Linked DNA regions of Pelodiscus sinensis. The protein of the gene in region 1 purifies or fractionates together with the protein of each later gene. This does not show direct contact. Links are inferred from orthologs where the notes say so. Each region holds a gene or a part of one and is shown on either strand. Other genes may lie near its edges. The genes, in order: U2SURP and SNRPA1.

The links.
Region 2: the proteins of U2SURP (region 1) and SNRPA1 purify together in Homo sapiens (affinity purification with mass spectrometry; 5 studies listed by BioGRID and IntAct, with this or other methods). This does not show direct contact. The link is inferred for Pelodiscus sinensis from reciprocal best matches to the Homo sapiens genes U2SURP and SNRPA1.

The regions. Positions count from the first base shown.
Region 1 is NC_134720.1:21,752,691-21,760,181, reverse strand, and holds the start of U2SURP (U2 snRNP-associated SURP motif-containing protein), read right to left. Parts: upstream 3,331-7,491; 5' UTR 3,198-3,330; coding exon 3,153-3,197; intron 1-3,152.
Region 2 is NC_134724.1:7,056,492-7,064,155, forward strand, and holds the start of SNRPA1 (U2 small nuclear ribonucleoprotein A'), read left to right. Parts: upstream 1-4,513; 5' UTR 4,514-4,615; coding exon 4,616-4,697; intron 4,698-6,724; coding exon 6,725-6,872; intron 6,873-7,573; coding exon 7,574-7,652; intron 7,653-7,664. UniProt on the Homo sapiens protein: Involved in pre-mRNA splicing as component of the spliceosome. Associated with sn-RNP U2, where it contributes to the binding of stem loop IV of U2 snRNA.

The DNA.
Region 1 (7,491 bases):
GGGGGGGGGGGGGAGAAGAGGAATACAGGCAGATCCACCAGTGCTCGTGGGGAGCCTGCTTAAAGCCAGCTCCTCACCAGCAACAGCTCCCCTCCCTCCTTGCAGCCTCTAGTACTGGCTACTGTAGCCCAGGCTTATCGGTTAATCATGCAGTTGTTCACACAATGACATCCCTACTTCCTACAACTCTTCCCTCCTTCCCAGCACTTTCGGGGTGTGCAAATCGCCTGATCTGTGTTCCATATGTGCTCCTCCCACTCCCTCCCAGAAATTGAACAGCTGCAAAAAAAGCAGGGAGAGGAAGGAAAAGGAGCAGAGATGAAGCGTCAATCAGGTGATTCACATTTCAGAAAGTGCTGGGAGGGAGAGAGAGAAAGAGGTGAGAAGAATAGAAAATATGGGGCTCCAGTGTATGAAGCATGTGGGGGAAGGGAGCAGATAAAGGGTCTTCAGGCCACAAGTGGAGCCCCAGTGGGCCGCATACAGTTCCTGAGCTGCAGTTTACCCACCACTGATCTACTCAGTGCACGCTTGCTGATACGTTGTGAACAAAGTCACTCCTCTGAATTGGTGTAAATCATTATCCAGGCACTTTAAAACAAAGTTCCTCCAGTTGCTAAGCCAACTTTTCACAGCAGCACTTGCTTTTACACTGTTAGGAGTAGAGCAGTACAGTAATAAATTCAAATGTCATGTGTTTCAGAAGAAACTACTACTAATTCTTATTCAGGTCTATAAGTGATATGGATCAATGGAAAAAAACAACATTCCAGTGATGGGAGACAATAGGTATTTAATACGTACATATAGCACATTTCATCTGAAAAGTTAAGAGGTTAAATAATTTATGTATTAAGTAGCAATGGAAACAGAATCCTGGTCCTCCAAGTCCCATATCCTATTCCTGGTCCATGACCCTTCCTCCTGGGAAGGCTGAATAGTCAGCTGCTAGGAAGAACTACATACAGTTACTGGCTAGCCATTCTAAGGCTTTGTCTACAATTGCACTCTTCTAAGCAACATTTTTGTTAATTACTTTTGTGAAAAAATACACCCCAAACCAATGTTTCACCAAGACAAGCACTAGTGTACACAGCTCTATGTCACTAGAAGATACTCTCACGCTGACCTATCTACTCCTGTTTATTGGGAGGGTGCTTTAATCTCCTGCCAGCATAGAGCAGCTACACAGGAGACCTGACAGCAGTGCAGCTTTATAATGGTACAGCCGTACCATTATAAGGTCCACAGTGTAGTCATAGCCTAATACCAGCAACATTATTGAGTATGAGATAATTTATTGCTTAACTATGTCTAGGATCATTGTCAGATGCTAAAAAGCATTCAACCCTGGGAGTAGACTAGAGTCCTTACTAATTCCTCACTTTTGTGGGAGACGCAGGAATTAATGGTTCTCCCACATCTGGATATTACTCCTAAGCATCCACTCTTGCCAAATGCAGATTTTGTGTGTGGCTTTAAACAAACTAACCAGTGACTACCATACAGTTTTGACTTGGACCTCGCTATCCTTGGTAATGTTAATTATGGAAAATAAACTTGGCTCACCAAAGAAAAACATCAATGTTTTCAATCAAAAGAGAGAACCAGGCCATGGAAACAGAAAAATCAACCTCAAGTTAACTACAAGTTTTTAATCCACAATTGGGAAACAATAGCCAAACAGGTATAAATATTTCCAAACTAAAAAATGGGACCACCTATGTGAATCAAGTTAAGCACATGCATGTGTCTGCCAGACTGAGACTTAATATAACAACAACCTCTTCCTAATTTCCAACCACTACCCCAAAAATATCAATTCCAAACATTTCTAGACTTTTGAGTCAAGAGGATAGAGTATTTAGGCCTCAATCGTACAAGTGCAATGGCTATCTAATCACACAGGATCTGTGCAAATGCTGCTGCAGGACTACAGAAAATACTGGCTTATTCCAGTACTACAGGAAATAAAGTTAGCCATGGAAATTAGGAACAGAGAGGAAGAATGACTGAAAAGTTGTCAAGCCAAACAATCTAGTGGGGGAAATGCCTAGTAATCTGAGCACAGGATTAGGAATCAGACACTAGAAAAATGCATGGGATTTAGGACAAGTCTGTCCATTTCTCCAGAGTCTCTAGCTACATCTACACTAGTGAACTTACAATACAGATGAACCAATGCAGTTGAGCCACTATACACTGGCTTGTGTAGCCACATTATGGCAAAGGGAATGAGAGCTCTTCAGTTGACATAAAACCATATCAATGAGCAGCAGTAGCCGTATCAGGAAAAGTTATCCCACCAATGGTGCACACTACCATTTAAGCTGGCAAAACTTTCACACCCTTGAGCAACATTAAGTTTTGCTGGCAAAAATGGTAATGGGAAGATGGCCTAAGAACACCTGAATCGCTTGCCCTCACCCCCCCCCCCCCCCACACACACACACATTATAACAAATAATTAAAACATAAAACAGATAGAATAGGGAAAATGTTTTCAATCTGGAACTGAAACTTAAAACTACTCATCACCAGCGCCAGACGCTTTAAAAATAATGTTTTCAAGCAAGGCCCGGGAAAGCTACTGAGACTGTTTCAGGGAAACAAAAAATAAGGCAAAATCCATCCCAATGAGCAAAGAAGCTATTTTAACAGGTATCCAGGTAACGGGGGACACACCGATCCCAACCCCCCGAATATGCAGCGCTGAGAGGGGGCGAACCCAGAGGAGCAAGGCTGCATCTTTGCCCCGCTCTGCCCCAACGACTATTCCCGCTCGGGAGGGGGGACGCGGTGCCAGCAGAGGGTGCAGGGAAGGGACCCGAGGGCTCATGGTGCAGTGGGGGGGGGGGGGGGCGCATCCCACAGGCCTTACACACGCACCCCGATGCTGGACAAGCAGTAGGAGAAACACTGGGCCCGACCTCCCTGCCCCAGCCCTTGCCCGCCGCCCCATCCATTCCGCCGCCAGCAGCCCGCAGTAACGCCGCGGACGGGCGGGACGGAGCAGGCCGCACGGCCTGCGCGGCCGGGTCCGAGCGCCCAGCACGGCCTGACGCCTCCGGGGCATGGATGCCGCTCCCGCCCCTGCCCCGCGCGGGGCCCAGGCAGCGGCGCCGTTTGCAGGGCCCGCGGGGCGGCCTCACCTTCGCACTGGCTTTCTGCGACCCGCCTGGCGTTTTGTCCGCCATCTTGCTTCTCTCCCCAGCTCAGCCCTGGCGGCGAAGAATCGAGCACCGATTGTAAAGGGAAGGAGACTGGCCGCGCTGAGGCGGGGAGGAGGAAGTGCGGCGAATCGATGGCTGAGCCAGCGATTCGGTCGGCCGGGCTGCTGCGGCTGGCGCCGCGCGGCAGGAGGGAGGGTGCTGCGCGCGCTGCCAGCCCCGCCCCGAGTGGCTGGCTCCAGGGGGCCTGGCTCCCTCGCCACTGACGCGAGTTTAGCGCCGGGGTCACGCCGGCTCCACGCGGGTGGCAAATAGGCAGCGGCGAGCGCTGGCAGGGGTGTCAGAGTGCGGGGTTGGAGGCGGGGGCGGTAGCCGAGGGGCTGTGTAACCGCATGAACACTTAGCGACACCCGACTCTTCGGAAGTCCCAGGGCACTCCCAGCCCCGCCCCCTGCCACCGCCGCTGCTGCCTCTTGGTCAGGTGGGAGGCCGAGCTGCTTCACAAGAGGAGCCAGTTTAAAAAACAGCTCACCTCACCGGCTGCCTGCCGCCCTGCTGCCTCTGATACAGAGGCAGCAGCCTGTCTGTGGGAGGGTCCGAGCTCCCTGCAGACAGAGGCTGCTGCCTCGGAGCAGCTTCTGCCTGCTGCAGGCCCAGGCTCGCTGAGGACAGGCTGCTCAGAAGGATGTGGAGCAGCCTCCACAGGGAGCTCAGACCCCCACAGGCAGAAGCTGCTTTGCAGCAGCCAGGGACAGATGAGAGTGCCACGGGGACGGGCAGCAACATTTCGCAGCCCCCCCCCCCTTTGACCCAGCACATGCACTGTCGTGCCAAGGCTCAAGCACGGGGCCCGGGGCAGCCGCCCCGCTCGCCCTGCCCTAAATCCGCCGCTGGCAGCAGCCTCCCCTGCAGTTCAGGAGGCGGGGCAGGCGGCACCATGGATCTGGTGCTGAGGTGAAATGGCTTTTAAGCCTGCTCCCCCCAGCTCCTGCCTGTCCCTCCTCACTGCCTCCTGCAGAGTTGGGTCCGCAGAAGCCCATGCACATAGGGAGCTGGCTTGAAAGGCAGCACATGTATCAGCTCCAGCCTGCCCCCCTCACCTGCCGCAATGCTGCCTCACCGAGAAGTCTCCTCGCCGCACAAGAGTGTGCAGCTGCCGGAGAGACAACACTGGCTGTTTAAAGCAGTCAGCCTGTCTCTCTAGCCCAGTGGTGGGCAAAGGGCGCTATGTGGGCTGGATCCGGTCTTCCAAGTCAGTGGATCCAGCCCGCAGCCGCCCTGCTGCTCCCCAAGCCAAACAGGGAGTGGGGGTGGGGAGCATGTGAAGTCCTCCCACCTCTCACCCTCCGCGGCTAGAGAGACACACCAGCTGTTTTAAAACAGTCATCATGTCTCTCTAGCTGCTGCACACCCCTAGCAGGGTGGAGAAAGGACACAAGAGACTTTGCCAAATGCACCTTAATATTTAGGGAAGAAGGCAGGGACAAAAATAGCAAAAAGAAGAAAATGGATGACAGCATAAAGGGCATAAGAACGGCCGTACTGGGTCAGACCAAAGGTCCATCTAGCCCAATATCCTGTCTGCCGACAGTGGCCAGCACCAGGTGACCCAGAGAGGCAAGCGATTTGTCTCCTGCCATCCCTCTCCAGCCTCTGACAAACAGAGAACAAGGACACCATTTTATCACCTGGCTAATAGCCTTTTATGGACCTAACCTCCATGAAATTATCTAGCTTCTCTTTAAACTCTATTATAATCCTAGCCTTCACAGCCTCCTCTGGCAAGGAGTTCCACAGGTTGACTACACGCTGTGTGAAGAACTTTCTTGTATTAGTTTTAAACCTGCTACCCATTAATTTCATTTGATGTCCTCTAGTTCTTCTATTTAGGGAACTAATAAATAACTTTTCTTTATCCACCCTCTCCACACCACTCATGATTTTATAGACCTCTATCATATCCCCCCTCTGTCTCCTCTTTTCTAAACTGAAAAGTCCCACTTGCTTTAACCTCTCCTCATATGGGACCCATTCCAAACCCCTAATCATTGTAGTTGCCCTTTTCTGAACCCTTTCCAAGGCCAAAATATCTTTTTTGAGGTGAGGAGACCACATCTGTACACAGTATTCAAGATGTGAGCGTACCATAGTTTTATAAAGGGGCAATAAGATATTCTGGGTCTTATTTTCTATCCCTTTCTTAATAATTCCTAGCATCCTATTTGCCTTTTTGACTGCCGCTGCACACTGTGTGGAAGTTTTCAGAGAACTGTCCACAATAACTCCAAGATCTCTTTCCTGATTTGTCATAGCCAAATTATCCCCCATCATACTGTACATATAGTTGGGGTTATTTTTCCTGATGTGCATTACTTTACACTTATCCACATTAAATATCATTTGCCATTTTGTTGCCCAATCACTCAGTTTGGTGAGATCTTCTTGGAGTCCCTCACAGTCTGCTTCTGTCTTGACTATCCTAAACAGTTTGGTATCATCTGCAAACTTTACCACCTCACTGCTTACCCCTTTCTCCAGATCATTTATGAATAAGTTGAACAGGATTGGTCCTAGGACTGACCCTTGGGGGACACCACTAGTTACCCCTCTCCATTCTGAAAATGTACAATTTATTCCTACCCTTTGTTTCCTGTCTTTTAACCAGTTCTCAATCCAAGAAAGGACCTTCCCTCTTATCCCATGGCCATGTAATTTACACAAGAGCCTTTGGTGAGGGACTTTGTCAAAGGCTTTCTGAAAATCTAAGTATACTATATCTACTGGATCCCCCTTGTCCGCATGTTTGTTAACCCCTTCAAAGAACTCTAAAGATTAGTAAGACAGGATTTCCCTTTACAGAAACCATGTTGACTTTTGTCCAACAAATTATGTTCTTCTACATGCTTCACAATTTTATTCTTTACTATTATTTCGACTAATTTGCCCGGTACTGAAGTTAGACTTACCGGTCTGTAATTGCCAGGATCGCCTCTAGAGCCCTTTTTAAATATTGGTGTCATGTTGGCTATCTTGCAGTCATTAGGTACGGAAGCCAATTCAAGGGATAGGTTACAAACCACAGATAATAGTTCAGCAATTTCCCATTTGAGTTCTTTTAGAACCCTTGGATGAATACCATCCGGTCCCGGAGATTTGTTAACATTAAGTTTTTCTATTTGTTCCAAAACCTCCTCTAATGACACTTCAATCCGGGACAGTTCCTCAGATTCATCACCCACAAAGGACAATGCAGATTTGGGAATCTCCCCAACATCCTCAGTCGAGAAGACTGAAGCAAAGAAATCATTTAGTTTCTCCGCAATGGCTTTATCGTCCTTGATTGCTCCTTTTATAGTTCGATCATCTAGGGGACCCACAGGTTTTTTAGCAGGCTTCCTGCTTCTAATGTACTTAAAAAACATTTTGTTATTTCTTTTTGAGTTTTTGGCTAGCTGTTCCTCAAAATATTTTTTTGCTTTTCTTATTACATTTTTACACTTGATTTGACAGTGTTTATGTTCCTTTCTATTTATCTCACTAGGATTGGACTTCCACTTCTTAAAAGATACCCTTTTGTCCCTCACTGCTTCTTTTACATGGTGGTTAGGCCACGGTGACTCTTTTTTAGGTCTCTTGCTATGTTTTTTAATTTGGGGTATACATTTAAGTTGGGCCTCTATTATGGTGTCTTTTAAAAGTTTCCATGCAGCTTGCAGGGATTTGGCTCTAGTCACTGTGCTTTTTAATTTCTGTTTAACTAACCCCCTCATTTTTGTGTAATTCCCCTTTTTGAAATTAAATGCCAGGGTGCTGGACTGCTGAGGTGTTCTTCCCACCACAGGAATGTTGAATGTTATTATATTATGGTCACTATTCCCAAGCGGTCCTGTAACGGTTATTTCCTGGACCTGATCCTGAGCTCCACTCAGGACTAAATCAAGAATTGCCTCTCCCCTTGTGGGTTCCTGCACCAGCTGATCCAAGAAGCAGTCATTTAAGTCATTGAGAAATTTTATCTCCGCTTCTCTTTCTGAGGTGACATGTATCCAGTCAATATGGGGGTAATTAAAATCCCCCATTATTATAGAGTTCTTTATTTTGGTAGCCTCTCTAATCTCCCTCAGCATTTCGATGTCAGTATCGCTGTCCTGATCAGGTGGTCGGTAATATATCCCTACTGCTAATTTCTCATTATTGGAGCATGGAATTACTATCCATAGCGATTCTACTGAACATAAAAACGAAACAGGAATGGGATAAGAAGCCAAATGGAAGGTTGGAAGGGAACTAAAAGGGGGAAGTGTGTGAACAGAAAGAAAGG
Region 2 (7,664 bases), on another chromosome or scaffold:
CTTGGGTTCTCACTACAAGGCATGTTTCTAGACCTTAGATCATTCTTGTGGCTGTTTTTTAAACTCTTTCCAAATTGTTGTCATCTGTTTAAAAGTGTGGACACCAGAACTGGACCTTGTCCTTGTGGGGTTTAGGGATGCCCCAGGCTGTGATAACAATACCTCCCTCTTTCTGAGCAATATAGTTCTCTGCTTATATATCCAAGGATCACATTGGCTTATTTAACCATCACATCACAAGTAGGGATGTCAACAGTTAACCGGTTAATCGGCTAGCAACATCCCGCAGTTAACCAGTAATCTGGCTGGGTTGGAGCAGCTCCCTGCTTGCCTGTGGTGCAGCACAGTGGGCCCAGCCGGGCTGGAGTGACCCCCACTGCCTGTGGTGGGCCTGGCCTGGTTGAAGCAGCCCCATGCCTGTGCCATACCGCAGGCGGGGGCCACTATAACCTGGCCAGGCCCTCTGCCTCACTCCAGCTCGGCCGGCTCACCATGCCACGAGTCAAGAGCCACTCCAGCCCAGCTAGGCCCACCATGCCACAGGTGAAGGACTACTCCAGCCTGGCCAGGCCTGCTGTGCCATTCCACAGGTGGGGGTCACTCTAACATGGCCAGGCCCACTGCAGCTCGGCTGGGCTCACCACACTGCAGGTCAAGAGCCACTCCAGCTTGGCTAGGCTCACGGTGCCACAGGTGAAGAACCACTCCTGCCTGGCCAGGCCTGCTGTGCCATACCATGGGCAGGAGGCCATTTAAGTGGTTAACTGATTAAACAGGATTTTACATCCCTATATCACAGTACTAGTTCATGGTCAATTGGTTATCCATCATGACACCCAAGTCCTTTCCTACACCACTGCTTTCCAAAATACAATTCCAAAATCCATTTCCCTGTATAAGATAAATGTTTGCCCATCCTCATTTTGCAGGCTGAGAAACTCAGTTTTGGAGAACTCACCTTAAGACACTTTGGAGTTATTCTATGCGGTAAAAGTTCTTACACCACACTTATAAAGTCTGAGCACCATCCATAAAGCATTAGGCAACCTGACTAATATATGTCCTGTTTGTTCTCCCATCGGGGCCAAGTGTATGCAGTGGAGTGTTTGTTTTTCTGGATTCTTATATACACATCTGTCTATATGTTTGTTACAGCAATGCACATGGTGAAGTTGGTGATTAGTGTCTGGAGGAATTCACTCTATAGTTTTGTGCGGGCTCTCAAGAAAGCTCTGTCTATGGGTGTGTCTAGACTACTGAGTTTTGTCGACAAAAGTCCACTTTTGTCGACAAAACTATACCAGCGTCTACACTACCGATGAGTTCTGTCGACATAACGTCGACAGAACTCAGCAGTTTTGTCGACGCTGGTATACCTCATTTTACGAGGCATAACACCTTCTGTCGACAGAGTTCTGTCGACAGAAGGTGTTATTGCCTGTAGGGTTGCGTCTAGACTACAGGGTTCTGTCGACAAAGCAGCTTGCTTTTTCGACAGAACTCAATGTGTCTGGACGCTCTTTGTCGACAGAAGTTTTGTCAACAGATACTGTCGACAAAACTTCTGTCGACAAAACCTGGTAGTCTAGACGTACCCTATGTCTACACTACAAGGTTTTTGCGCAAAACAATACAGTACATTGACAGGAGAGAGGGCTTTTGCCGGTAGAGTTATTCCTCTCCCCATGAGGAATAACTCCTTTTTGCGCTACAGCTCTTGTGCCAAAAGGCACGTGTGGATGCTCCACAGAGGTTTCTTGAGCAAAAAGAGCCTATCAGAAAAAGCACGGGTGCTCTGGTGGCCATTCTGTTAATGGCAATCAGAGCTTTCTTGTGCCAGATCATCCATGCAGTGTGGATGCTCTCTTGCGCAAAAGCACATTGCTTTTGCAGTGTGCTTTTGAGGTGTGGATGTGTTTTTGCACAAGAAGTTTTTGCGGAAGATCTCTTCCACAAAAAGCTTCTTGTGCAAAAACCCTGCAGTGTAGACAAAGACTCTGTGTCCTGTATTTCAGGATAATTTTACAAAGTGCTGATCATCTACAACTTCTACTGAAGTCAACAAGAGGTTCAGCTGCTCAACCCCTCATGCCACTCTCAGGTTGGACACCTAAAAACTAAGCCACACAGTCCAGATGGCCATTGTTCATCATGTTGTTGCCCATAACTTAGCCAAGTTCACACAGCAAAACCTGTAACTGGTTGGGAGAGTCCAAACCTTCTCAGCTCCATGTCTGCAATTTAGCCACAGTCAAAGCTTTCACACCTCCCCAATGATGTGAAACTCCCCCGATGGATTCTGTGGGTTTTCAGCCCTCCCTCCTGGATGTTTTAATTTGCTGTTTCTTCAAGGCTCATTCCTTCTTCTAGCTCTCTTCCTTCCTCCCTGCCTCTGCAGCACAGGGCTGGCTAGTGCTAACTGAGCCACACAAAGACAGCATCACTAGCTGCCTTAGGATGGGACCATATGTTGGATTAGTCCTTAATCAGAATGTTCATCTTATTTGAAAGAAGCCCCAGTGTAATGAATCTACCACGAAAATAAAGACCAAGAATCTTGAATTTCTGGGCTTTCATTGACTAATTATTGGGACTTCAAAGACAGCACTGACAAAATGAAATGCTCTGCGCACTACCTGTCCCTTCTGCTCTCATCTATCCACTCATAGACTCATAGACTCATAGACTCCAAGGTCAGAAGGGACCACTATGATCATCCAGTCTGACCCCCCACACAGTGCAGGCCACAAAATCTCACCCACCCCTCCTAGAATAATCCTCTCACCTATATCTCAGATATTGAAGCCTTCAAATACTTTGAAGACCCCAAGATGCAGAGATCCTCTAGCTGTGATCTGTACCCCATGCTCCCTCAGCTTGGCTTCTGCTGACATCATTTGGGCTGCTTTTGATGGAATAGGTCCATCAATGCCTATTAACCAGGATGGGTAGGAATAGTGTCCCTAGACTCTGTTTATCAGAGGCTAGGAATGGGTGACGGGGAGGGATCACTTGATGATACCCTGTTCTGTTCAATCCTTCTGGGGCATCTGGCATTGGCCACTGTAGAAAACTGGGCTGGACGGACCTTTTGTCTAACATAGTACGGCCGTTCTTATGTACATTACAAAAATAAAGGCTATTTAGGGAGGTGAGATTTTAGGAGGGAGGAAATAAGGAAGGAAAATAAAGTAGCTTTTATGGATTAGGTGTGGCTACCTGGTTATATCCATGAGTTTATATGTAAGATGCCCCTGTCTCTATACTGGTTATTTCCTCTTTGTGAGCACAAAACTTTACACTTAACAGGACAAAATCTTGCCTCCTATCCTGTATTCCCCACTGAGCTCATTTCTCCATCTCCGTTTGCAGTTTGGTTCGCTTGACTGGCCTATTTTCCACACCTCCAATTTTAAAGATCATCTGTAAAATTGGTCATTGTTGCATTTACAGGAAAGACACCTGACAAAAAAATACACAATGCATCCTCAGGAGTTCAGATGACTGTGTATTGAATGTGGTGGGCCAAAAAAGACTTCTGGAAATCTAATCAGGATGCAGGCCTACAGGTGGCCCTCCTAGGCACTACTTCTGCAGAAAGCCTGATTGACAGAACCAGCTCAGACGGCTTTCAGGGAAAGTCATACAGAGCAGAGCTGTGCAGGGAGCATGATTAGCAGAGCGCTATGGCTATGGCCCTGTGGCTCTGATTGTTGTCTGTTTTGTGTGCATTGATTCTTTGGCAAACCTTCCCCCCTCGCTCCTCCTCTGTTCTTAAATCTGAAGCGTCAGTTTTATATGTGTTCACTTTTTTTTTAATTGTATCCTTTGGTATATAGGGTCATGCCAATTTTCTTCCACAATTTGATCTGAGGAAGTGGGTCTGGCCCACGAAAGCTCATCCCCTAATAAACCATCTTGTGAGTCTTTAAAGTGCTGCACAGTCCTGTCTTGTGTTTCCCCAGCTCTCACATTTCACTGGTGTGACTTGAAATTACAATCAGAGAGCAGAGCTCCCGTCTCCTTCCGCCTACTGTTAATCACAGCAGCACCTTGCACTGACCAGGGCCCCCACAGAGCCCCGTGTCCCTGCCTTACGAGGGGCACCTCATAGACTTTAAGGTCAGAAGGGACCATTATGATCATCTAGTCTGAGTGCTTTTGCGGAAAAGCATCCTGCCAATCTAGACGCGATTTTTCCAAAAATGCTTTTAACGGAAAACTTTTCCATTAAAAGCATTTTCGGAAAATCATGCCCGTGTAGACGTAGCCGATATCTAGTTTAATCTTGAAGCCAGATCGATCTTTTGCCCCCACTACTGCCCTTCTATGCACCTGCCCCACAGAGTGCAGGGGGAGCTGGCTGTATGGGCAGTGGAAGGGGGGAGCTGACCCTGTGGCTGGGGGAAGGGCAGGTGTGTCTGGGGGGGGGGGGGAACTCCTCGCTGAAGGGCGGGGGAAGCCGCCTCCGTCGCTATGGCGCCGGGAGGCGGGGCCAAGAGGCGGCGCTCCGAGGCTCGGCGCTCGGCCGCTCGGCCTGTGCCGCTCGGGGTCTCGGCGCTCGGCTCGCTCGGCGCTGTAGGCCCGGCGGGACGCGTGCGGGGCGCGCGGCAGGATGGTGAAGCTCACGGCGGAGCTGATCGAGCAGGCGGCGCAGTACACCAACGCCGTGCGCGACCGCGAGCTGGATCTGCGCGGTGAGGCCCGCCCGGGAGCCGCGCGCCGGGGAGGGGCCTCGGGTCGCGGCCGAGCGTGGGGTGGGCCGGGTGTGTGTGGGGGGGCGGGAGCGTGGGTCAGGTGGGGGGGTGGGTCAGGTGTGGGGCGAGGGCACGGGGGGTGGGTCAGGCGGGGGGCGGGAGTATGTGGGGGGTGGGTCAGGTGTGGGGCGGGGGCGGGAGTATGTGGGGGGATGGGTCAGGTGTGGGGCGGGGGCGGGAGTATGTGGGGGGGTGGGTCAGGTGTGGGGCGGGGGCGGGAGTATGTGGGGGATGGGTCAGGTGTGGGGCGGGGGCGGGAGTATGTGGGGGGGTGGGTCAGGTGGGGGGCGGGAGTGTGGGGCGGAGGCACGGGGGGGTGGGTCAGGCGGGGGGCGGGAGTATGTGGGGGGATGGGTCAGGTGTGGGGCGGGAGCGGGAGTATGTGGGGGGATGGATCAGGTGTGGGGCGGGAGTATGTGGGGGGGTGGGTCAGGTGTGGGGTGGGGACGGGAGTGTGTGGGGCGGGAGTATGTGGGGGGTGGGTCAGGTGTGGGGCGGGAGTATGTGGGGGGAGTTGTAGCGGGGCGGGTTTTGTGCTGACAATTTTACATCTTGGGTACCTGGCTAATGGCCTAGTCCAGGGGTTCCCAAACTGGGGGTGTGTGCAGAAATTCCAGGGGGCCGTGCGAAGTGACCCAGCCGCCCCCGCCAGTCAAGTTTTGCTGCCCTGTTCAGTTTTTTTCCCCCCTCAACAAGTTTTACTGCTATTTGGAGGGGGTGCGTGAGGGTTTTTCAAAAATCAAAAAGGGGGGCGTGATGCCAAAAAGTTTGGGAACCACTGGCCTAGTCGATACAATTAGTCGATAGGGCGGGTGTGCAGAGCCGCAGCGGGGATCACACCGGGAGCCGGCTGCAGCTGAGACGGAGTAGTCCTGGCTCGTGCCAGCTCCAGGAGCCACCTGTGCTGCAACTCTGCGTGTTAAATGTGGCAAGAGCTGCTGGGCTGTTGCTCCATTTAAAATGCAGAGGCGCAGTATCGGACCAGCACAAGTTGGGACTGCTCGGGCCTGCCTGGTGCTGAATCCAGCAGCCTCTGTTGGAGGTGAACGGCCCTGGTTCTCATAGAGGCTGTGGAGTGGGGTGGAGGGAGGCGGGGCACGACACAGCAGGGTGCACTGGGTGCATAGGGACTCAGGCAGTCCCCACTCGCCCTGTGTTCCCACTGCGGCGCTATGGGGCTCTTGCTACATTTCACAGGCTGAAGTGCCGCAGTGGGAGCCAGGGTGAGTGCGACTCCTTCAGTCCCTACTCGTGCTGTTTCCCCACCGTGTTTCTGCCCCCCAGAGATGGTGCTGTGAGGAACCAGCTTTTAAGCCAGCTCCCCCCAACACCAGCTCCTACTTTGCTGCCCCCCCCTCCACTGCCTCTCCTAGAGGCAGCAAGTGGGGGGGAATTGAAGCCAGTTTGCCTCAGCACCATTCTCTGCGGGGGGGTGGGGGGCAGGTGAGGTAGAGGCACAGCGGGAAACGGTAGAATCTCTGCTCACACCACTTCTGCTGCAATTCTGTTTTTGAAATGGCTCAGATGCTGCAGTGTGTGCAGGGCCAGCGGGTGAGTGCTCTGGTCCAGCGCTCCCTGGTGGGCTTCCGCTTTTGAACTGGACTCTTGCTTCAGTTCAAAGGCAAAGGCACCCTTATAAACTAATCAAATAGTAGATGGAAATCCCATCAACTATTCAATTAATTAATTAATCTAAATTTAACATCCCTAATCACTACTTGACTACCTGATAAGCTTTTTGCTTATTGGATACTCAACTAGTTGCTGACATCCCTAGCTTGTGCTGGGGTGGAAGAGTGGGGGAAGTAGGGAGGCTTCACTCTGGATTCATGAGGGAGACAGTGATGTCACATGCTGCTTCTAACCTGGGAATCCTGCATCCCTTGTTGAATGGCCCAACTCCACCCCAATGCCCCCTTTCCTCCCCCCCGACTCTATTTAACCTTGGTCTGACGCTTTCCCCGCAGGGTACAAAATCCCCGTCATTGAGAACCTGGGTGCCACCTTGGACCAATTCGATGCCATTGATTTCTCCGACAATGAGATCCGCAAGTTGGATGGGTTCCCTCTGCTGAAGAGGCTGAAAACGTTACTGATGAATAACAACAGGATATGGTAGGTGGCACGTGGAAGCTTTCAGCATTGGCTGTTTGCTTGTATCATTGCAGTTCTGCAACTTACATACGATCAGGGCTTGACAAGTGGCAGCGAGCCCCTGTTTGGCGCACTGCGCATGCGCAGACCGTGCTACGCATACGCTGATTGTGCTGCAGCGCCGTGCCAGGCTAAAATCTACTCGCCATGGGCGAGTAGATTGCCGTAATTGTCGAGCTCTGCATATGATCATTGATTTGTTTTAATGGAAGAATGCAGCATGTTACAGTTATGGAGAACCATTGTAGTTTGCTTCATTTTCAGTGTGCTTTATGAGCACCAATCCTTTTAAATCCTGGATAACGTCAATAAATATTATCCTCATTTTATGGACAGGAAAACCAAGGCTTGGGCTTTGTGATTTGGTCAAGTGTGCCGAGATTCAGTAGTTTTTTGTTTATCATTCCTACATTCAGATCAGTGAAAAATGTAAACATGATCAGGAAGTTTGGGACAGTGGTAAGTGAGGGTACAAGTCAGAGGTAATTACAGGAACAAAATAAAGATTTAAACTGTTTTACTTGATGCAAGGTGAATGATTCCCAAACCAAGTGACCCCTTGTACATGTATTGCATTTGAGGGTTAAAATGTGTCTGCAGGTTTTTATTAACATTTATTACCAACATAAATCAGACTGATTATTTTTAAATATTAATTTTAGTCGGATTGGTGAGGGACTCGAACAGGCTTTACCCAACCTTCAGGAGATCATTCTTACCAACAATAGCATTGTGGAGCTGGTAAGTTACTAC